4 linked regions of the Tribolium castaneum genome follow. The protein of the gene in region 4 interacts with the protein of the main gene of each other region in a biochemical or structural test. Links are inferred from orthologs where the notes say so. Each region holds a gene or a part of one and is shown on either strand. Other genes may lie near its edges. The genes, in order: Uba1, mr, Roc2 and ubiquitin-conjugating enzyme E2 S.

Region 1 (6,578 bases), on a different chromosome or scaffold from region 4:
GAATGAGTTCAATTTCACGAAATATTATATTGTTTAATTTCACAAAACAAAAATAAATACACCACCATTTCGTCAAGTGCGTGTAGGGATACCAACTGTGCGGAGTGCACTGCCTCTTTAATGACCTTGAGCGTTTAAAAAATCCTGATTTTTAAGATTTATTTCGTATTTCCTGGCATAATTTGCACATACGATTAAGGTTGAGGCTTTTGCGCTTTCTGGTGGTCAATTTTGCAGCGTCCTTCTGCCATATGGCAGGAAATTTAATTAAAATACAGGATGACCAACTCCAACGCAGTTGCAGTAAGTTTTAATTTATAATTTTGTACAAAAAAGGAGAAATAAGGAGAGCTCGTAATGTTCAAAACATATTTATTAAATTTCACACATCAAAATATTTAAGAAAATAAACACTATCCTGAACCTACAATGTATCCAGTATCAGCATACGTACGATTATATTGCATTAGCTCATTGAATTCACTCGCCATAACACAAATAATAGAAAATCAAGTGAGAATCACTGGGCAAGTAATAACAAATTCCTACCGAACACGTGTTCTAGTTATGCTTGCAAAAAATATAAATAATTTACAAGATCACAATTTGACAAATACCCAGAATAGTTCAATTTAGTGCACACCTAATAACTGTCATTAAATGCCCTAATACGAATGCAGCCAACACGCAACCATTCAAGGTAGATTATACTTAACATACGGAACTTCGACATCGTTTCCGTCAGCGTCGTTACAACACAGTTCAAACACTAGCGCCTTGACGTGCGGTTCGAGCTTCTTCTTCGACACTCGCTTCACAATCTCGGACATGGGCAACCCCAGGCGTTCCTGCGCCTTCGCTTTGGCCATAAAGAACGAGTACAGCATGCACACGCCCTGCGACAACATCGTGATCTCCAAGCCGTGCTTCTCTTTAAAGTACTCCAAAAACTCGCTCAGAGTCATCTCCCCATCCACCTCAAACCGGTCCCACAACGTCCACTCCTTCCCGCAATACTCGTTCTTGGGGGCGGCAATGGGCTCCGAAAACCCGAAGAACGGCAGAGCCAAGTTGACGAAACCGTTCTTGAACGGCGTCAACGATTTCAAACTTCTCGTTAATTTGTAAAGCTCGAGACAGACGAGGCCGGCGACGACTGAGGTTGTTGTCGCTATAGCTGGGATGATTTTGCCGGCGATCAGCTTGGATTTGTGACGATCGGCTGGAGGGATTTTGTAGTTGGCGGCTCGGAGATTCGAAGCCGCTACTATGAAATCCATGTGGAGGTTTGTGTCGTCGTCCTTTTCGAAATCAAGTGGAGTGAGGCAAAGATTGCCCAGTTCGGCGACCGAAGGTAATTCCTCTCTGATTTGGCCAACGCGGTCCAAGTCGACGCTTGAACCGTTCGTCATTGCCATCTGCGAATCGGTGACGGCGATCTTGACGCCAGATTTCGGGACGAACTCTGGTACCTGCAATTAATTATCATAAGAATATTATAAAACATTGTCTAATTGGATATTAATAAAAAAAAATCATATTTATTTCTTTAAAGCTTAAAGTGGCTGGCTTACGTGAATTTTTTGCACCACTTCGGCGATGTAAGCCCGATCCCTATTCTGCGGTATTCCATAAACCTCGGCTTTCAAATTAGCCGCTGCAAAAACATAATCCAAATGCAAGGTATTGTTCACATCGAATGTGAGTGGTTCGGGACACCTCTTCGGTCCCGACCAGAACAACTGTCCAGTGCTGGTTTTTTGATCCGGCGGGAAATTAAAAAGCAGTTGTTTGATCTGATTTGAATATTGTTCCTCCCAATGATGGCGGGCCCACACTACACAGTCTTCAAAACTCTTTGGCCTATCATCAACTAAAGCTGCCTTGACCGATTCCAGCACTTCAATCGGTTGAACTCCTGGTAATTTAATAGTACGTTCCAAAAATTCAGGATCGGTGAGATATTGCGATGCGTTTTCAGCACTCTGTCTGAAAAGGCCTTCGAAATTATCACGAGCCCATTGGAGAGTGTGTTCGATGGCGTTGGGGAAATTTTTAAGGGTACAAATCGGGATGCTCTTCTCGGGAGGGTCCTGTGACGAACTGTAGGATTCGGTGAGGAAAGGCACTACGACCTGGGTGTTGCCTTTTGTACCCAAGGTTCCGGATTCTAGTAGAGGTTTTCGGTAATAGACACATCGACGGTCCATGTAGATACGAGCGTCAACGTTATCTAAAGCGTTAGCTACGCCGTCTAACGACTCGAAGAAAGTGTCATCGTACATGTTTTCAGACTCGGGGCCCACGCGATTTTCATGGGCGACTATGTTTATGCTCGGGTTCATTTTCTTGATCACCTGTAGCAAAAATAAAGATTTTTTTTATTTAAAGACATTTTTAAATTTCATCTTCAAAAATGGTGGATGCGCCGGGTTACTCATTAAAAATTTAATAACTTAAAAACTAAAAGTGGTAGAGACAAACAGTTTGTTCCAGTGAATTCTGCGGATAATTTTACGTATTAAACCAGCTTATCACAGTATTTAAAACTGCCGAGAATTTTAGTTGGCCTGTTATGGTCTCACCTAGTACAAACCTCTAGCGAAGATAATTGACCGCGTTATTTAAAATCTTTGAAATTGAATGTTTACGCATCTGTGCGGTCCATTTTTATCGTTTTTTACCATTAAATTCGGAATTGTTTCAATAAGATGATTTTACCTTTGCTGCCGTTCCAGATTTGGGACGCTGAACATCATGTGGTCTGAACAAAAACTGTCGATTGAGATTAGATTTTTCAATAAGATCCATATCAGTGACGGTGATTTGTCCACCTTCACCACCAATTCCCATCATAGCGAAATTTTTAAGTAATTCGCAACCGATCGCTCCAGCACCTACTACGAAATATTTCAAACCGCCTGCAAAAAATAAATTAGCAACTTTTCGCCAAGAAATTACAAAAACGCACCTAATTTCTTCTGGAATTCGCTTCCGAAGACCGCAATTTGTCCATCATAGCGTGTGCCTTTCGGTGCCGCCGACTCTTCGGTAATTTCCCCAGCTTCCGTGGGCAAACATTCAATCGCATCGAAATACAACCACTGATAAATCGGGTGAAATTTCCCCGAACAAGCTTTCATAACTTCCTGCGCCACGATACCACCGATAGTCGCATTAATCGGATTCAAATCACCCGCGCACACTTTCGCAAACGTTTCTAACAAGTTAGTGTTCACTTCGGTATCGTTTCCGCCGTCCACGGCCAAAGATTTAGCAATGGACAGAAATTCGGATGCGTCTTCGTTGTTCCACGGTTTTGGTACACGGCCGTGCTTTTCGACGTATTTGTGCAACGCTTGAAAAGCCACGTGGAGCTGCTGTGGATGATCGAATTTCGCGAAATCGGTCATCAAAAATTCGGGCGATTTTAGCGAGTCTTTGAGTGATTTAAACGACAAGGTTTTGGGCATTTTCACTTGAGTGGCAATACCGCCACGCTCGTATTTCGAAAAGTTGGTCGTATCGCCGATGCTGAACGTGTAAGGGCCTAACACTTTGATTTTAATCGGCTTGCAATTGTTCAGTTCGGTCATTCCTTGGACTTCGGAAAATGTGACGTGGTCGCCGTCTTCCATGCCATGGCGGGTGTCGTCAATGCAGGTCACAATGCCTTTGAGAAAAAAAAACATCATTGAAAAAAACACCATTTTCAAACATATTTCGACCATTAAATTATAAAAGTATGACATTTAATGGCAGTGGAAACTAAATTTATTTTACATCTTCAACTTGGCGACAATAAACTTATGTGATGTGGTATTGACTTAGGCATTGAAATTATAACCACAATATCCATTACATTAAATCGATGTTTATTAAGGACAGAAGTTTTGTTACACGGCATCGTTGTTTCGCATGACCTTTACCTTACACGTATCTAAAATCAATTGAAATTCTCGATAGTGAGATTCACGACAGAATTGCGCTAAAAAAATGATGCAACATTTTTCTAATCTTTTATTTTTTTAAGGTATCTGTCTCAATGTCCGATTTGTTTTTAGCTTAGGACGAAAATAAATGTTTATAACGCAGACCACTTTATTTACACAATTATGGTTATTTTGAATTGCGTAGACAAATACCTACTCTTTATACAAAACATTGATTTGCATTTTTTGTTATACGTATTTTGATGACATGTAATAAAAACAGAAAATTAGTGATTTGAAAGAATTTAATTTTAGAGGTCTTTGAGCAAATTTCATCTTTTTTCAATTGTAGAAAAGCTAAAAATAGTACGAATTCATTAACCCATTGTTTATAGACGTTACAACAATGATCATTAAATAGCTGCTTTTGCAATGAAATAAAACAGAAACCAATATAATCAAATAAAAACTGTATTACGAGTAAGCTGCTTCACTACTCTATTAATTTTCTTGATCATTAATAATCCAAATGTGAATAACATATCACATATCGAGAGAAAAGAAATTATACCTAATAGATAATAATAATTAATAATAGCCAAATAGTTGATTTTTGATGATAAAAGCCCACAAAGACGTTCCGCTAACATTAAAAATTAATTTAGATTTTTTTTCTGATAATTTAACTTTTAATTTTTAATATTTTTCCTGAGACACTCTTTTAAATGTTGCGCCTCTGTTCCCAATATTGGCGAATTTATTGTCAAATTTGCTACTTTGATTAATTGTTTTGAACGTAAATCATCAATTAGTGTCATTCCTGCTAACTAAATTCAAGAAAAAATGATCTGCCAAAAACTTAATCGAAAAATCTAACATTTGGAGAGCTATATCTCGTAAAAAATGGAATTACCCTGTAATTGCCTGTCAATTGACTCAAAAGGCAAATTTTACAAAAAAAAATCGAGTGTCATGTGTAATTCAGTTAACCCAGACCCAGATTTTTAATTTTTTTCATGTTAACATTGTGTTACCCACTTTATCGATAAAAATAAGATTGAACATTTAAATTGGATTTGTCCTGATACATTTGGGTCATTAAAAACAGACATAATAATTTTTCAACAGCATAAAAAAATTGACAAAATAAGACTTTTTAGATTACGATACTAAAATTTGACAAAGCTTTACTGTACTGAGAATGGGAAAAGGAAAAGTGTTTAAACCAATTTTCGAATAAAAAAATACAGAGTTTTCTTTTGGTTTCCATAAAAAATGTGGCTTCAATAATGTAATTTATGCTTTAACAACAATATCAATTTCTGAAATTTTCTTAGTTGCAATCAAAAATATTTGATCTAGTTTTCAGACGACTTACATTTAAATAAATCTTAGTATGAAATGGTGTCATTATTACTCAGAACTGTATCGAATATGAATTTAAAAAAGTTTCGTTTAAAAATAAAATAAAAAATCTCTATTTTAAGCTATTTTATTTAATAAAATAGTTGAATACTGAATGCTTGGAGATCATTTAAGTTGCATCAAGATAAAATTATAGAAGTTTTGTGATTGCAGTGCTTCTTTAGCTGATCTTACCAAGTTGTTCTATTAGGTAAGATATTGTTTGAAGTACAGGGTGAGTCAATAGTGGGTTATTTCTTGACCCGGTATTTAACTAACAAACCTAAAGATTTTTTTAATAAATATACAGCTCACCTTCAAAATATCAACCTCCTACCCTCCACACAAGTGGTAGTTTACAGGAGGAAAAAAGGGATAGTACAGCATCTATTTTTAATAAAATCACATGTTTTTTACAACATTTTCTCAACATTTACACAAAGTTTAATGCCATTCGACTGCTACTTTGGTAAGCCAATAAATGGCTTTAGGTTTTATGAATAGTCTCGAATTATGTTTAATTTATTAGGATGACAGATTTATTTGACCATACGGTATTTGAGTACTGATATAGTGCCCTTTGGGGATTTTCACTCCATACCTTCGCACATCGCAAGGAAAACAAAGGCAAACTTCTAACATCGGATTAATTTTAGCCACATGATCAGGTTGATTGCACAATAATTGCCAATATAACCCGACGTACAACGTCAAGATTAGTCATTGTGTAACAATGCCTTCCATTAGGTTCTTTGTACCCACCTTCTTTATCGGTGGAAATATCAGCGATCATCGCCGAGACCGGCGACTCCCCGTTGGTGTCAACGACCGTGAAAGCATCCCCGAAATCACAGAACACTTGGGCAAAGAGCCCCCTCGTATCGGCCACAATGAGCGCAATGTTACTGGCATGTGTGATTTCGCTGATTTGCATCTGCTCAGCGAGACAACTATTGGTCAGGACAACGACTCGGAACTTGCGGATGAAGTCCGGCGTCAGGGGGCCCGTGTAGGCCTTCGTGGGGACGTAGGTGTTGAGCTCCGCCAGCTGCTTGCAGCAGACCTCGGCCCTGTTCTTGCCCACGTCGGCTTCGGTGAAGTAGAACTGCGACGAGAGGTCGGCGACGCTGCAAACGGCTTCGTCATGCAACGTGACGGACTTGACCCCGCCGAGGATGACGTTCTTGGCCACCTCGACGCCGAGCCCGCCCAGGCCTGAGACCAGCACGTCGCTGGAGGCCA
Region 2 (6,412 bases), on a different chromosome or scaffold from region 4:
ATAAAAAAAATTATCCCCCCAAATATATTTGGGGCATAAGATAATTGGGGTCCGCGATATACACTCATTGTCTTAAACATTTTCTGTCCAAAATTTTGCTAACTTTCATAAAAATAGGCAATCCAACTGCTTTCCGTCGTATAGTTGGTTGAATACAAAAACCTCTAAAAATTATAAAATTTTAAATTGAGTTATGGACTAGGATCATAGGAATACGTAGGTAGCAAAATGCAAAGACTTATAAATATAAAATAAAGCTATTTAGGCAATCTATACAGTCCGTTTGAATAAATCAACTGATGCTCTCTAACTTTCCTATCTAAAAACACTTTCAGTTCCTGCAAATTGCACTCAATTGTGGGTCCTTGGAATGCGAACATTTTCAACATTTGGTGGATTCTCTCCAAAGGTAAAGTGTCCAAATTCATCAACATACCCAAAATGTACGACCAGAAAGTCTGTTAAAAAAAATAACATGTTTTCCCATAAACTTCAGTACAGATTGACCTATGATACTGAAATTAGGTTGGCAGCATTGACAACTGACTTTATTACCAACGTAATTTCAAAGTTATAGCCAATTTGTATAGATTTTTTACCTGTAATTCCTCTTCGCGTTGGTCTTGAGCGCTGGCCATCGCCGACTCTGATTCAAAATCTTCAACAACAATATCATCCTGTATATTATTTTCGTTATTTTCCTGTTCCTCCTGTAGATAAAAAACGTCGGGTTCGGGCTCAGTTATGATCCCGTGTGATTGCCAGAAACTCAGTTTGCGCCGTAAAATTGTCGACGGAACGTGCATTACTTTACTCAAAGCTTCCAAAGACCAAGTATCTTGAAACGAAAAAATAAGTCGCTTAAAATCTTGATCTTTTTGACTCACTCTGATCTTGGAAGTGCATCAAAATCGTCGCATGCACCGGTGAAACCGACAAATTCAAAGTCCTATCCGCCAATTCAATTTCAAGATCCACAATTCCTAAATGATTTTTCCAACACAGGGTTCTGCTACCTTTTAAAGTTTCAAAAGCACCAGTGTAACTCTCCATCTGTTTCACCAATTTTTCGTGGAGTTCAAGCTTCTCGTCCTTGAACGCTGGCCAAAACTGTGCGCTTAGGATCATGGCAGACATGGGAATATCATCGTCTGAATAACTCAAGTCTTGCTGAATATGTTGATTGATTCGCTTCGAATCGGCGATATCTTTCAACATAACTTCGCAAAAGTGGAGTTGGGAGTCACCAAAGCGCAACTTCAGGAGTTCAAGATAACGAATTTCTTTCTCGGTGTCGCAGGAGTATTGCGACAAAAGACGATCGGCTAATAAGGTGCGGTATTCGTTGACGAACAGCTCCTTACTGCCGTAGACGTTGACAAGCATTGAGATGATGTCAGAAGTGCGGGGAAGTCCCGAAGATTTGCCTTAATTTTTCGAGGGAATTAGTTATTTATATTATACGTGGGATAAGTCTAATTATTATTGGGAAGGCAGACAAAGCTTATTTGGTTTATAATTGTTGCTTACGTTTCGTCAACTTTTTGGGCTTCTTGAGGACAATAAATAATCATGTAAAATGTAAATGGAAAAAATCAGTTGTCGTTATTTAATAAATCGTTTAAAAAAGCAATTTTTCACATAAGCAGGTGGTTTACAGCACGACCGAGGGGAGAGGAGGGGAGGACATGAATTGCAAATATAGGAAATTAGCACCTAAACAAGTTAATAAGTACAATTTTTTTGTAACAAATAACTCAAAAATAAATATTTTTTTATAATTTAGTTTGCTGGTTGGTGACTAAGCACTAGAATTATTAAATTTAAATAAACTGTCACCGTAAGAAGAAAAAATCATTTGTCAAAAGTGACTATTCTCTGTTTCAAAACTATGGAAATGCCAACGTCGATTTCCCTCAAAGCGATAAAAAGACACTTACTGGGGACGACATCTACCGGATCTGGGGTCCACGTTTCCCAGTCTTCAACCCCCTCATCGACCGAAATGTTCTCGTCCACTTGCACGGCTTCGCCCCGGACCAGCTCTTCAGCTAAATCATTTGGGCCCTCTTCAGTCAAACTACCCACCACACACCTGTATTAAAAATTTCGCCCTATTTCGGAATTATTGTACACAAAGTGCCCCTTAATTGTGGAAATTTGACACTTAAATGTCATTCAAGGCCAACTACACTATTTATTGTCTTTCCGAAATTCCAGTTAGCTATGAAAATTTGACACTTAAACGTCAAATATGCCAACTAGACCATTTTTTTTTAATTATTAAACCTTATTGTGTCTTCCCGACTCCTTAAATACTGATGAACCGGTTGAGTAATTGTCTCTAGAAGCAGTCCACAGGGGTCCAAAATCCGCAATGACCGAATTGTAGCCACGTAAGCCGTCAGAACGTCAAACGTGCTTACTCCTGGATGTAATAATCTTGTTTCAATTGCTTTTTGCAACGACCGAGTTAAGTGGGGTTTTAGGTCGGTTTTTGGAAGGCATAGTCGAAGGTCGTCAAGGGCCGGAAGAGAATCAGGATATTCTGAAAATATTTGATGACAGACTGCCACAAAAACAATAATTTTTACCAATTATGATGTTAAATAACTGATCTATTCGTATTTTGGTGTAAGTGTTGTATAAATAATTGATTAGTTTTTTGTCAAACTCATCCATGGCCTTGACTGCCGAATTATGAAAGTAAATTTTTTTCAACCATGAAATAACAACCGTTTGAAGCCACTGAAAATAATTCGTATAATCGATTCAAGAAACGACTGATTTCTACCTTTTCTAGACTCTCAATGTGCGAATTATCAAAATTGTCTTTACAGATTTTCTGGATATGTGTCTGAATGTAACTATAAATTAAATCAGTGAGAGCCTGGCCAACTAACGGTTCCAATAAAGTCATCTTGCCCAATTTCCTAGACACAAATATTTGAGTAAAAAAATAAAAAACAAAACTATTTACTTATTAGTTTCTTCAAACATTTCACGACAAGAACAGGAAAATTCCTCTTGCATGCACACAACACACTCCCCACTTGTGCTATTTTCTTCCTCCGGGTCCTGCATTTTAAGCGCCGTTTCGTAAAAATTTACTATCATCCATTCATGATCAATGGGGAGTTGGGATAACAAGACGGCCCTAACGATTAATTTTAAAGCTTCATGCAGGCAAGTTTGATTGTACACTGGTTTAGTGAAATTGCTTGCTTCTCTCAACAGTATCAACTTGTTAATAATTAAATCGAGCTGCACATAATTGTGAAACAAAAATTTAACCACACTGTAGAACTCGTGAAAAACTGCCGCCTCGTTCTCGGTTTTCTTAAAGTGGGACCAAAAATCTGGGACTATTTCCTTCCTCAAACGTTCTTCTATTTTAATTATGACCAAATCCTGAATTTGCTGTGTTAAATTGAGCCTTTTGATAATGCTGATTGCCTCAAAAGGGGCAGAGTCGAAATCATTATCAGGGATCTTTGAAGGACTTTCTAAGATTGGAAAAGCTTCTTTAATCGTAATCCACGCACTTTTTAAGTCCAGGTTTTGATTATTCATTGTAAAAATAATAATTGCTGAACGTAAAAAACTGACAAACTTTTAGGTTCTGTTCCTAGAATAACACTTTTATAGAAGCGGAACATAATGGTTGGCAATGAATTCCTAGCTGAAGCCATCTAGCCGCATCATCACGTACTAAAAATGGCGCAAATTTAAAATAATTCCGATTACTTTATATTTTTTTAATTTTTGCTCACGTCAAAATGATGCCAATACCTTATCAAATACAATTATTATGAAAATTTCTTAATTGTATTTGAAAAGGTGGATCCACAGACAGCACAGATGGAAGAATTTTACCCAACATGACACGATCACATTTAATGTTAAAGATATTTATTAAATCCATTAAGTTTACGAAACTAATAGTCGTCACCGAATCGATGATAAAGACATACTTGCAATCAGCCAAACTGGCACCGGTCTGGCACCTTATGTTTGCAACTTCTGTCTATGGGAGTCTCCTCGCAGTGTGACTCACTTGCGGTTCGATCTCAAAAAACTCACTTTTGGGAAAAACGCACCTATCTACGTAAACCTTCTGGAGCTCATTACTACGTTATATTTTTGGAGATCATGTTGTTCCTAACCGATAGTAGGCAATAGTCTAACCTAAAGACGACACTTTGATCCACTATAATAATAAAAATTAACGTGATATTATAAAAAATAAACTCAAATTAAAATCAACAAAAATGGCGATTCAAGTAAAAAGTGAGTGAAAATAAAAATTATTTTTCTAATGTAATTTTCAATTTGCACAAGAAAATTCATAGTGTACGGTCATCAGGGCACTCAGAGGAATCGTTTGGTGTAAGTTTCAGCTTGAAAATCCAGAAGTAGTTAAAGTAAAAAATTACCAAGTTATACTTTATGTTTTATTACGTGGTAAAGTTAACAACACACGTTAACATACCCTTTATAAACGTTTAAACACCCTTTTTCATGAAAAGGTTGACACGAGAAGTGCATTTTTCAATAAATCTCACTGAAATTTATGTCGTTGACTCAAGGTAGATTTGTCTGTCCTTAAACATGTTCAATAATAATTAATAGCGCTCTAGAAGAGCAGGAAAGCACACAAAAAACATTAAAGTTAAAATTTAACACTTCAGAAGAGAGCATAATACACCCTAACCCTACTTTCTGAACTTTTGTCCTTATCTGGCAATAGCACATAATAAAGGTAGAGATTTCGACCCTAAATATCCTATCATAACGCTCTGAAAGGGCAGAGATGGAGACAAAATTCATAAAAGTGTAAATTTTGTCATTTTCGGGTGACAACATAACCCTACTTTTGAAACCTACCGAATTTTCAACAAAACGAAACAAACAAACAATGTTGCTATACGCATTGCGATACCACTAATTTTCGCACCAAAATTTCACATTGCCAGTTTCTGTTTAAATAAAAACATGCATTTTTATTTTTCCATTGACTGCATGCGAAACTTTTATAATTTTAGACGTTTATAGGCAAATACATTTGTCATAATTAATTTTTTTAGATCAATGCTGTTCTATTTTAAATAATTCTGTGTATGAATGTTTCTAAATTTGACGAATTTTTCCAGTGAATATTTCTGGTAATGACTTGTTTTAGACTTAAGTGACGTCACATCCGTGACGTGTCCCGAGGTTAGGTGTGCGGCGCAGGCGGCGAGAGCGCTTCAGTCGACAGCGAGCAATGGCACGGGTCAGATCGTGAGCGGGAAGCAGGAGGCGAGGTGAGTCGGGTCGGTTTATTTAAATTATTGTGTATTGTGCGGTTTCCTTCAATTTATTCAGTTTGTTACTTGCCGTTGTCGCGAACGGACGTGTGCTCAAACAAATCTAAATTTTCCGGTTTAAATTTTCAATTCGGTGACTAGTGATCGCGTTTGAGTGACACATTTTAAATACAGTAAATAAAATTATAATCAAACACTCAAATAATTAATTGCCACGTAATAATTTTGTCTTTAATTTCAATGAATGAAAGTGGCTTGCTCAAAATTTAATGCAAATAAACATTTTTTTTTGGTTTCATTTTTATTATTATTTTTTTTAATGCTACAAACGGTAGCCAACGTGGAAGCGATATGAAGGTAGGTGTATTTTATTGCTGTGTCGTATTTATTTATTTCACAAACCAATAATTTCATAAAACTTAATTGCAATTAAAATCTTTAAATGCGGTATTGAAAAGTGATATTTTGAGTGACACATTTTAAATACAGTAACTATAAATAAAATAAAACACTCAAATAATTTATTGCCACGTAATTTTGCCTTTAATTTCAATGAATGAAAGTGGCTTGTTCAAAATTAATGCAAATAAACCTTTTTTTTTTTTTCATTTATATTATTATTATTTTTTTTAATGCTACAAACGGTAGCCAACGTGGAAGCGATATGAAGGTAGGTGTATTTTATTGCTGTGTCGTATTTATTTATTTCACAAACCAATAATTTCATAAAACTTAAATGCAATTAAAATCTATAAATGCGGTATTGAAAAGTGATATTTTGAGTGACACATTTTAAATACAGTAACTATAAATAAAATAAACCACTCAAATAATTTATTGCCACGAAATTTTGCCTTTAATTTCAATGAATGAAAGTGGCTTGCTCAAAATTTAATGCAAATAAACATTTTTTTTGGTTTCATCTTTATTATTATTTTTTTTAATGCTACAAACGGTAGCCAACGTGGAAGCGATATGAAGGTAGGTGCATTTTATTGCTGTGTCGTATTTATTTATTTCACAAACCAATAATTTCATAAAACTTAAATGCAATTAAAATCTATAAATGCGGTATTGAAAAGTGATATTTTGAGTGACACATT
Region 3 (4,806 bases), on a different chromosome or scaffold from region 4:
ATTGTCTTAAATTATTATGTATATTGTTTTCGAAAATATCTTTATTTCTTTACACCTAACTACAATTTTCTGTATATCTTGTGTTGAAGATTATTATTATTAATATTATTAGAGATTCATTTTGCGAAAAACGCGTTCATTGAAGTCAAATCACAAAAAATATTTCGTGAAATATCAGCAAATCATGTAAATTATTACGTAAATTCTTACTTTGCATAAAAGCAGTGTGTCGCCTCCTATTTTAGGCTCCCACAGTGCCATACTTACCAAAATTTAACAAATTCCCTAAATTCCGGACTAAAAGTCTCAGGTAAGCTTGGCGGATCTTGTCCTAGCACTTTGGTTAGGACTTCAAAATCGGTTGTACAGTTGGGATATGGGAAAACCCCCGTTGCTAATTCAACTAGAGTTATGCCTAATGACCAAACGTCGGCACGTATGTCATAGTCGGGATTTTTAGGGTCGGGTTCAATGCGTTCCGGCTAAATTAAAAAATTAGAAAAAAAATAAATGTGGGGGAAAAACTCACAGCTAAATATGCAGCACACCCAGCGCTCCTAGTTTTTGCCATTGAGTCCACCAAACGTCCACTAATACCAAAATCACACAATTTTATATGGCCTTTAGTGTCGATCAAAATATTTGAAGGTTTTACATCCCTATGTATCACACCGTGCTTATCTTTTAAATACGATAAAGCCTCTACAGTCTGTAACGTTCAGTGAGCGTGGTGCTTGAAAAGGAAGACGTGTACTTACAGCAACTGTAACTTTACCCAGGATTTCTTCAGGTATCGGTTTACCTAACCGTTTTAGTAACTTATCAAAGCACGTAGTCATGAGCTCCATGCATATCCAGACTTCCGAATCGGTTATAAAACAGCCTAAACATTGAACTATATATTTACAGTCGTGTGACTTTAGGACCACTTCAATGTCCATAATAATCCTTTTGTTTTCGTCGTTGTTGCCCGAACGTCGCATTTGCTGAAATGGAAGCCCGTGAAATAAATTGTGTTAATTTTTGGACCTTGATGTTTACTTTGACGGCTATGATTTCGCCACTTAGTTTGTGTCTCATTTTGATAACGTGACCGCAGGTCCCGAAGCCCAGTTCTTCAAGTCTTTCCATATCTTTTATATCAGTTTCGTATAGTTTGTTGTTGATTGTTAGGTTACCACTAATTTTCATGATTTCTTTCAACTTCCTATCAGTCTCTAAATTTTCACTGCTTCTTGGCGTGAAAGATAAATCTCGTGGCCGGCTGGGGACCATGCCCACTGGGAAAACCAAAGATCGCTCTTATTTTCCCCCTTAACTTATTAAACAACTTACATGGGAGACTCGGGCGACTGTGAGGAACATCACCATTATTTCTGGCGATACTTTGACCGGACATTTGCAGATTGCGTGGAGGATTGTTTCCTTGTCTTAATCGATCTAATAAATTATTTATTTTCTGTTCTTGACTAGACATAATTATACTTACTACAAAGTCAAAACCAATGACAGCTATAACCTGTAACTTTTAGCTGCCAAAGGAAAAACACCATCGGTTGGCCAACCTGACACAGTTGCTACCGAACTCATCAGAAATCAAAAGTTCCCACAAATAAAACAACCAGTTCTGTTTTACAATTTTATTAATAAAAGGAAATACAATTAATTATGTTTGGGCATGTTTGGCATTATGATGCCTCTTTAGTTTTTGACTTTCCGTGAAAGACTTGCCACAATTGGGAAACTGGCATACATAAGGCCTCTCCCCAGTGTGGCTCCTCAAATGGATGATCAGGTGGTGCCGTTCGAAAAATGTTTTAAAGCATTCGTCACACTTATGTAAGCGCAAACCCTGAAAAGTACACGAAATCATTATTTGCCCATCCTCTGGATGGACCATTCTTGCTGACACAACGGGCAGCGATTATTTTGCTTGACCCACAAAGACATGCAACAATAGTGAAACGAGTGGTTGCACTCCCCCCACACCACCACGCAATCCTGCTTCCCGTACGAGTCTTTTTTGCTCTCAGCTTGGCACCGCAAACACGCGTCCATCACTTGCACGCGACAAATCGCACAAGTGTCGCATTCCACGTCCCAGCTCCACATTGCAACAGCGTTCCATTTTTTCAAAGTGAACATTTTCTCGCTCTTGGCTCCCTCGCCGTCGAGGCGCTCGGTGTTCTCGTTCTCGTCGGCAATAGAACTCGACATGGTGGCAGTTATCAACCAAGGGCGTTATTTATTATCCTAATTGTAACCTCAATATTTGCGATGACGTTTGACGCGTTAGTAACAGTGCCACCAACAAGAACACGCTAAATTACAAAAATACCCACCTGATGGTACCTTTGGTGCTTCAGGAGCTCTTTTTTGGTATAGAACGCCGAAGGGCAGGACTGGCACTTGAATTCCTTGATTCCTGTGTGAATTCTTTCGTGCCTCTGCAAACTGCACTTTGAAGCAAATGCTCTGGAACACTGCGAGCAGTAAAATCTGACTCCTTCATGATGCTTTTTTTCATGTGCCCTCAGATTACTTCGCACAGAAAACCCAAGATTACAGAGCTTACACACGTAACCTTTCACTTCCAGGTGTATTTTTTCGTGGCAGGTTAATGAATTTTTTGTGATGAAGCCTTTGCCTGTAATAATTTTTTACTTGTGGGGCGTTAATAGAAATAATTGTTACCACAAGTTACACACAAAAACGAGCGTTTCCCCTGATGTTTGAGCTCATGCGTTTTTAATGTGTAGGCGGAACTGAGGATTTTTTTACAATTCTTCCAACTACAAACGAATTTGGCTTTTTTAAACGCCTCCAAATCCTCTGTTTCTATTTTATTTTCAAAACTATCATGTTGCGAATTTTCTTCTTCTGTGAAACAGTTGTGAGACCCATACTCCTCCAAGTTACAAAACTTGTTATCACATTTCGGACACGAAACTTCTGCTTTAATTTCCTCCTGACTAACACTTATCTGGTGTGAATTTAAATGATTCTTAAATAAATCATGATCACTGAACTCCCCTGGACATTGTTCACACTTGAAGATTTCTTCTTTAGTGTCCTTACTTTTGGCTTCGCAATTTTTTAAAATCCTTCTGAAACACTGATCCACTTTGCGAATGTGTTGCTTGTAAAGCGAAAAACATTTTATGGTTTTTTTGCACTCCTCACACACAGAACGCGGCAAAAGCTCCATAGATTTATCATTTACCTACAAAAAAGTTCTTTAATAAATTACAAATTGGGCAAGTTTTTTTCACCTTCACTTTTGTGCATTCGTAAATTTCTTTTACTAATTTTTTGTCTGTTTTTATGTCGTGTTGGCCGGGCTTTGTGTGACACAATCGGCAGTTTTTCAGCCTTATTTGTTCGAATAAAACCATTTTCGTTTTTGTTGGTAAACCGTACCCTAACCTTACTTTTTTTTAATATACAGTATGTCCCAGAAAAGTTGAGGTGGAAGGATTAAATCGAATTCTATTTATATTATTTATTTGAATATAATAGTTACTGGTAAATAATATGCACATAAAAATAAAATACACTGACTGTACATCATAATAATACAGAACAGCATGATAGTGGCAAACGTTAGTAAAGAACTAAAAGACGATAAAAATCTTATCACACTGTCCTAATAAACTTAAGTTAGATGGAATTTGTATGTACACCTTAGAATACAGCTGATAAAAATTTCAGTATTTAAATAACATGGACTATAATAGTATTTATACATCAGACTGGAGTAGTGCAAGCGTAAACAAAAAACAATCCCAATACAATCTATTATGTTAAATAATAATTAATCAGTATTTATTGTTAGATAATACCTCAATACAAAGAAAACTTACTTACGAACATGATATAACAATCTTTTGAACTATTAGTACAATCTAACTTAATTATTTCACAAAATAACAAGTGTAACCTGTCAGTCTGGTTTTAATAAATGCACACAATTTTAAATCCTCAATCACCTCTAATCTTAATTTAATAAAAAGGATCGACGTAAAACTAGTCTAGTTTTAGCAAGCAAGCTAACAATAGTTTATTTGTTTTCAGTAAACAACCTGAAAAAAATTCTCCCTTTCGAAATTTCCAAATTTAAGTAGCTTATCAGGTCACCTCAATCTCTCTAGTAAAAGAAACAAAACGAAAAAAATGTTTCATACGATTTTCTTAATTATTCAGTCTGTGTAATAAGTATATACACGAGTTAGGGTAATCAATGCTCGCTCTGGATCTGCAGAGGCACATTTTGGAGTATACTGTTTCCTAAAGCGTTCTATCCCTCCGAAACCGACGATAAACTGCTCCTAGTCGACCCCATCCCGATCTTGCAACTCTCCTGGCTCAGATCGGGCAAATCTGGAGGCAAAGCCAGAGGAGTACTGATCGGCCCATAAACCCTTTCCTGTTCTTCCAACTGCTGGGCAAACGCCTCTTCCAATTTCTAAACAATTACACAATTTACGACACAAAAACGAGGAGACAACGGGTGTTAGTTAGTACAAGCAAGCAAACGAAAACACAATCTAAACAGCAGAATCATCATCGGGATTCGAAGGAAGGAAAACACTGGCTCTGCTACTACTACCGCCACCGTGGGTCCAAGACCGCACCCGCCCCCAAGTGGGTGGCGAGTCCCTAAATGTGGGAGTGTTAGGTGTAGTTAGTGGGAATTGAATATCCTGATCGGTTGATGACGATGTGCTTAGTCCGGTTACATGCAACTTTGGTAAGTATTTGACGAAATCCGACGTTACCAACTCTGTGTGCATCTCCTCCTCGAGT
Region 4 (5,437 bases):
CTGCTACAAACAGAAAGTACTTTGAACTGTCTTTTGTTCTCGGAAGTAAAGTATTTACTTCAAAAAAAGTAGCATTTACTTCCCCTGAAGTATTTACTCCACTATACTGTAGTATTAGTATTAGCATCTACTTCATTTTTATTCGAACCACCTAATACCTGTGCCACTAACCTCCCGCCTTTTTCGAAACATCAAACGTTTCTTCAAATTTCTTCAATTGTTTCCAAACAATTTTATTAACAAAACAACGGCACTAATTATAATCCAACGGTTTTAACATTTTTCACGAAAACAAACCTTTGGTATAACCACCACCATGACTTATCGAAGGGCCATTTCTTTCTTAATGCGCCAATATTATAATTAGAAAATCACTAAAAAACGTGAGTGGTGGGAATGTTCAAAATTTGCAATTTTAGAAAACACAGTTGTTAAAGTTGAGTTTCAATAATTTTTAAGCATATTGTGCCCACAATAAATATCCATGTGTTATTTTTTATAATACTTGGATCAAATGAATAGTGAAAAACGTTATAAAGAAGCATAAATCTGAGAGCAAAGACACTTTATGGGACCGTTAAACAAGCTGAAAACTTTCTTTATTTCTATTTACATCTGCACAAGACGAAAGAATACAAAAAAACTTACGGCGACCAAAGAGTTAGCGTTTTTTGAGATCGAATGAAACTTTTTTAATTTCATATTTCTTGTCGTGTTCATGTAAGAAATCTTCCAGAAACACTTCCATTATAAAAAATATATTTTAGAAAAATGTGTAGGTAATTTCTTCTTCAATACTGTTTTTCGCAGATAATTCTAACAAAAATAAAACTAATACTTTCTATACTTTTTCTAAGCACCAACCCTTCCCAGGTAGTATCCTTACAAATAATATCTCACCTTCAAAATTAATTTTTGTGGACTTCTCCATGGGACAATCTCACCGCAAACATTATATCAATCAAACACAATAAAATTTTATTTGGATAAACCAAAAATTGAGATGGTAGTCATTCACTCCGATTTTGGACTTAAATTTTATTTTTCCACCTGTTTGGATAATTTATTTAAAAGTCCTGCACTGGATTTAGTAAAGGAAGACATCGATGATGAATTTTTTTTCTTCGATTTGGTCCTCAGAGCTACCTTATTTTATCACTTGCGAATTTTTTAAACAATTTAAATGTTACCTATTTATTACATATTTGATTTTCCAGAAGAACAGTTTCGAAAGGATACATGGCCAAAGATGGATCAAACATTTGTCTTCTCAAAATTAAAAATGAACAAGTTTTAGTACCACTCGAGCCACATCTCGATATTTTACCCAAGGAAATGGACAAATTTTATTTAGCTACAAACGGATTTCGAGACAGCTTTGCCACACAAATAGCAAAACCAAGATTGACTTAAGTTAAGTATGTTAACTTTTCTTACACTTATAATTTGGTGGCATTCACAAGTGTTCGTTCATTTCGGGGCCAATACAATGAAAGAAACGAAATTAATTCCTTTTTATACTACATCGCCTATATCCATCATCGGAATACAGTGGAACTCGGTTATTACGAGCACCCAAGGGACTAGAGAATTTATTTGTTGTAACTTATAACAGTTATAACCGATCGTTGGTTCTAATCGAACATCGTTCTTATGGAGTAATTTTCAAGTTAAATGAGTTCTAAAGTTTGAAAGAGATACAGGAAATAAAGTATTAATCTATTTTGTTATAAAAAAGATATGTACATAATTGTGGGTACGGTTGGCGTCTGAGGATAAACTACTTCTCTTTGTCATTCATGCTATATGATGTAACTAAACATTCAGTCATAAATGTGTAAACAAATATGTAGTATTATGGTCTATAAAATTATTTTTCAAATGGATTTGGTCTCTCACTAAAACAATAATTTGATTTTCAGTTTTTATTAATAAATAATTCACAATTCTCTACCACAAATACATCCTAAGGCTCAGCTATGTTTGATGTTGAGGCCAACAATGTTCCGGTTTGTTTCAATATTTGTTGCAGACACTTTGTAATTGACTGGTGGAAAACCAACTGAGCCTAACATTTATTTTTTGATTGGAACCATGAATAAATTGCACTTTGTGCATGCACTACATTCAAAATAACACGAAATGAAAAGGTCTCAACCAAACTGTAGCACACATATAAATTAATAAATCATTCTTGCATACTCAAAAAATATAATTTAATAATTAAAAAAAAATAGTTAAAACAAAGAAATAAACAAGAATGGCAGTAACGGTTTTCATAAACGCTTCAACGTCCGTTTCTTGTCTTTAAGTATCTTCTTTTTCTCCGCTGTTAGTTTACTCTTATCACTGGCGTGCTTCTTAGCCAGAGGGCCCTCCCCGCTGCAACCTTTTGAAATTTTTTGGGGCTAAAAAACCAAATTATAGATCTATTCACTGATTTTGGCTAAAATTCACCTGAGCGTGAATTTCCGTCATCATTTTGGCCCGCTGTGAGTAGTCTTCGTACTGTTCGAGGAGCAGTTTCCCGGCTTCTTCATTGAGGGCTGATTCGGCGTTGGGCACAATGAGGAGGCATTTAATGGTCTGAAAAAGCGCAATAACCTCAAAAACACTCAAAACCGGAACACCTACCAGTAATATGTGTTTAATTCCGAGATCTGACTTCCAATCCTTTTTTAACGTGTTGACGCAAATCTCGCCATTGGCGGCCACATTTGGGTGGAAAATCTTCGTCAGAAAGAAGGCCTTGGGCGGCTCCTGAGGGAACCCCTTGCCCAGAGTGAGCTTCACCTTGAAAACGCCCCCCATATACGGCGTCCCTGCAACAGGAAGCTTGCACAACGTTTCCAGGACAGAGGGGCCACTAACCTGCAGGACCGTCAATGTACGCCTGAATATCGGTCACATCTTCGTCGTTTATTTGAACTTTGATCCCTTCGGGAGGATTTGAGACTAGATCTTCCATTTCTTTGACCACTCGACGGATGATCTGGGGCGAAAGATTCTCCACATTGTTTGACATCTGAAAACGGAAAAAAACGTACCAAAAACGACTCCACGAGACGAAATACGACGACTCACTGCTCCGGCACTTGCCCTTAATTAAAAATATCACAAGAAATCGACTAAATTGGCGATTTCACGACGCTAAAACAACCTGACAATCGTGATAACAAACATCAAACTTGGCGTTCTAGAGAAAACAGATGAACAACGAAATTTGAATTTTGCCACCAATCACATGCGTTTAATCTCGGACCCGGGGACGGCACACCGAAAAAACGCCAAATGAAACTCAAAAAAAAATTTCTTTCGCCCTGCACCACGCATACACACATTCAGCGACGAAAAAAGCGACGGATGAACCAAAAAATCGTTAAAATTAGCGCAAAAAGCGGTTAGAAATTTTTTGAAGCGACACCTGGCGACAGTTTAGTTAGAACATTTAAAAGTTGATTTTAGCCACTAAACCGCCTAATCTTAGGAAAAAATTAAAACTTTGCATTAACCACATTCTACAGGGGGTAAAAAAAGTGAAAAAAACGCCCAACAAAAGGTAAGATTGCACTTAAAGAACATATTTTGTTTCAAAAGCGCCCTCTGGCGAGTTAACAAACGGACTAGACGGTTAAAAAATCGGTTCTCGCCAATGGTTTAAAGACATAGTTGTGCCGTAACTCCTAAAACTAATCAATAGACGGCGCGCGAAAACGTCACTGAGATGGCACTTTTGAATTTCATACGTAATTTTTTGCTACTTTGTGTGACTTGGAGAAAATTATAATTGCAGGACAATGAAAATTTTAATATACGCCATTCCAAAGATATGTGGCCACACTTTTATTGCGGTAAAAACTATTTGCCTCTCAACCTCTAATCAAAAGTAATCCGTTTCTTCCTTGAAGTCAGTTTGATCCAAATTCAAAGGGACTTTAGGTCGCTGTTTAAAATAGCACAATTGTTCAAAGAACAATTTACACTAGTGAATTACACTATAGGAAGTGGATGCAAAGAAAATGAAACTGCTGTTATCAAAAGATCTGAGAGAGATAAGAATAAGTATACAGAAACATTTTTAACATTTGAACGAAGCGATGAATTTATTGTAACCTAAATAACATTGTCGATTTTTATGGATGACTGATGGGCAACCAGATTTACAGTCTATATTATCAAGTAAATAAACAACATTTAACCTTAAAAAAATATGAAAACTCAAAAAGCACACAGCCGGATTTCTAGTTTACATACCATAGGTGTCATATAATGGAGGTGAGTGTTTAAATAAAAAATAATATTTTTAAAAAACAATTCGTTACTGTAAACTATCATGCAGTTTTCCGATTTTTTGGCCACTTTTCAATTATTTTTAGAATCCCTATCACCTTTCTTTTTTGTCGCTCATGTTTTTAAATGGTTTTACAACTGAAATCTTCATAAAAGTCACCAACATTGTTTTACAATGTAAATTTTCCCAAAACACGATATAAATCGCATGTAAACAATGCAATAATACGTTAGCCATCTGGCTGACGAAGCAATATGGCGGTTCTCCCACTCCTCACAGAGTCACAACGCAACCATGTCTATACTAACCTTGGTTTTCGCACTTTTTTCGGTACAATCATAGAATAAGAGAGAGAGGGTACAATTTACCAAATTAATTTCGATTTCTTGGCACCGTCATGTTTAACAATTTGCTTAATTCGTCAAATGCAAAGTTTTTTAATTACTCCCTCGCTTTCGCTTCGGTGGATTAAATTCGTAAAATTTTTGAAAATCAAAACAAATTTCGGCCATGATGTGACGTCATGACCGACGCACCAATCAGAGGTTTATTTTGGTCCCAAATGTGGCTGTGTGATCCAGTGATCGCGTCAGAACAATAAAAAACCATAGAATAAGAGAGAGGAAGAAGCGAATCTCTCTGTCTACCCCTCGTTTTTTCGCGAAAGCGCCACCTAACCCGGGGAGAACGAACTAATTCGATAATAGCGGGAAATTCAAACAGGACATTTTATTTATTTTCCAAATTTAAAGAATTATAAATGTTAAATGTTTCTGTACTCATGCACTGTTACGAAACATTTTAATAAAAAAGCATCTGTAACAGTTGCAATAGCACAAAAACATTTAACATCCCTTAATAAAATGAAACAAAGTCTTTCCAATAAAAATTTATTGAAAAAATAATAACGTGCTGGAATGTATAGGCAAAATTAATTTAACTCGAATTGTTCTTCATAAACATACTCAGATGTAATAATATGTGTAAATACATTGTCTAAATATACACAATGATCCAGAGAAACTGAGTATGTTGGCATCAGATTAAATTATTGAATTGCTACCTGAAAGTGTACACTATTGGTATCCTTTAAAATTTAAATTCAGATTGCTAACAGACACAGTATTTCGGGATCAGTCTGTATAA

The links.
Region 1: of the proteins of ubiquitin-conjugating enzyme E2 S (region 4) and Uba1, one has a biochemical effect on the other in vitro, tested with the Homo sapiens proteins (8 studies listed by BioGRID, with this or other methods). The link is inferred for Tribolium castaneum from reciprocal best matches to the Homo sapiens genes UBE2S and UBA1.
Region 2: the proteins of ubiquitin-conjugating enzyme E2 S (region 4) and mr form a complex in vitro, tested with the Homo sapiens proteins (3 studies listed by BioGRID and IntAct). The link is inferred for Tribolium castaneum from reciprocal best matches to the Homo sapiens genes UBE2S and ANAPC2.
Region 3: the proteins of ubiquitin-conjugating enzyme E2 S (region 4) and Roc2 form a complex in vitro, tested with the Homo sapiens proteins (3 studies listed by BioGRID). The link is inferred for Tribolium castaneum from reciprocal best matches to the Homo sapiens genes UBE2S and RNF7.

What each region holds. Positions count from the first base shown.
Region 1 is NC_087394.1:32,759,054-32,765,631, reverse strand, and holds the end of Uba1 (ubiquitin-like modifier-activating enzyme 1), read right to left. Parts: coding exon 6,099-6,578; intron 3,674-6,098; coding exon 2,972-3,673; intron 2,922-2,971; coding exon 2,722-2,921; intron 2,358-2,721; coding exon 1,575-2,357; intron 1,473-1,574; coding exon 696-1,472; 3' UTR 356-695; downstream 1-355. UniProt on the Homo sapiens protein: Catalyzes the first step in ubiquitin conjugation to mark cellular proteins for degradation through the ubiquitin-proteasome system.
Region 2 is NC_087394.1:29,187,819-29,194,230, reverse strand, and holds mr (anaphase-promoting complex subunit 2), read right to left. Parts: upstream 3,669-6,412; 5' UTR 3,574-3,668; coding exon 2,981-3,573; intron 2,934-2,980; coding exon 2,795-2,933; intron 2,749-2,794; coding exon 2,595-2,748; intron 2,549-2,594; coding exon 2,290-2,548; intron 2,096-2,289; coding exon 1,941-2,095; intron 1,428-1,940; coding exon 888-1,427; intron 839-887; coding exon 600-838; intron 459-599; coding exon 258-458; 3' UTR 239-257; downstream 1-238. UniProt on the Homo sapiens protein: Together with the RING-H2 protein ANAPC11, constitutes the catalytic component of the anaphase promoting complex/cyclosome (APC/C), a cell cycle-regulated E3 ubiquitin ligase that controls progression through mitosis and the G1 phase of the cell cycle.
Region 3 is NC_087397.1:2,862,653-2,867,458, reverse strand, and holds Roc2 (RING-box protein 2), read right to left. Parts: upstream 2,330-4,806; 5' UTR 2,218-2,329; coding exon 1,873-2,217; 3' UTR 1,626-1,872; downstream 1-1,625. Other genes in the region: dual specificity mitogen-activated protein kinase kinase 7, read right to left, coding at 268-482, 530-709, 759-986, 1,042-1,280, 1,336-1,399; Slik (STE20-like serine/threonine-protein kinase), read right to left, coding at 4,298-4,465. UniProt on the Homo sapiens protein: Catalytic component of multiple cullin-5-RING E3 ubiquitin-protein ligase complexes (ECS complexes), which mediate the ubiquitination and subsequent proteasomal degradation of target proteins.
Region 4 is NC_087395.1:19,971,322-19,976,758, forward strand, and holds ubiquitin-conjugating enzyme E2 S, read right to left. Parts: upstream 3,379-5,437; 5' UTR 3,085-3,378; intron 3,026-3,084; coding exon 2,872-3,025; intron 2,823-2,871; coding exon 2,635-2,822; intron 2,587-2,634; coding exon 2,458-2,586; intron 2,409-2,457; coding exon 2,277-2,408; 3' UTR 1,911-2,276; downstream 1-1,910. UniProt on the Homo sapiens protein: Accepts ubiquitin from the E1 complex and catalyzes its covalent attachment to other proteins. Catalyzes 'Lys-11'-linked polyubiquitination.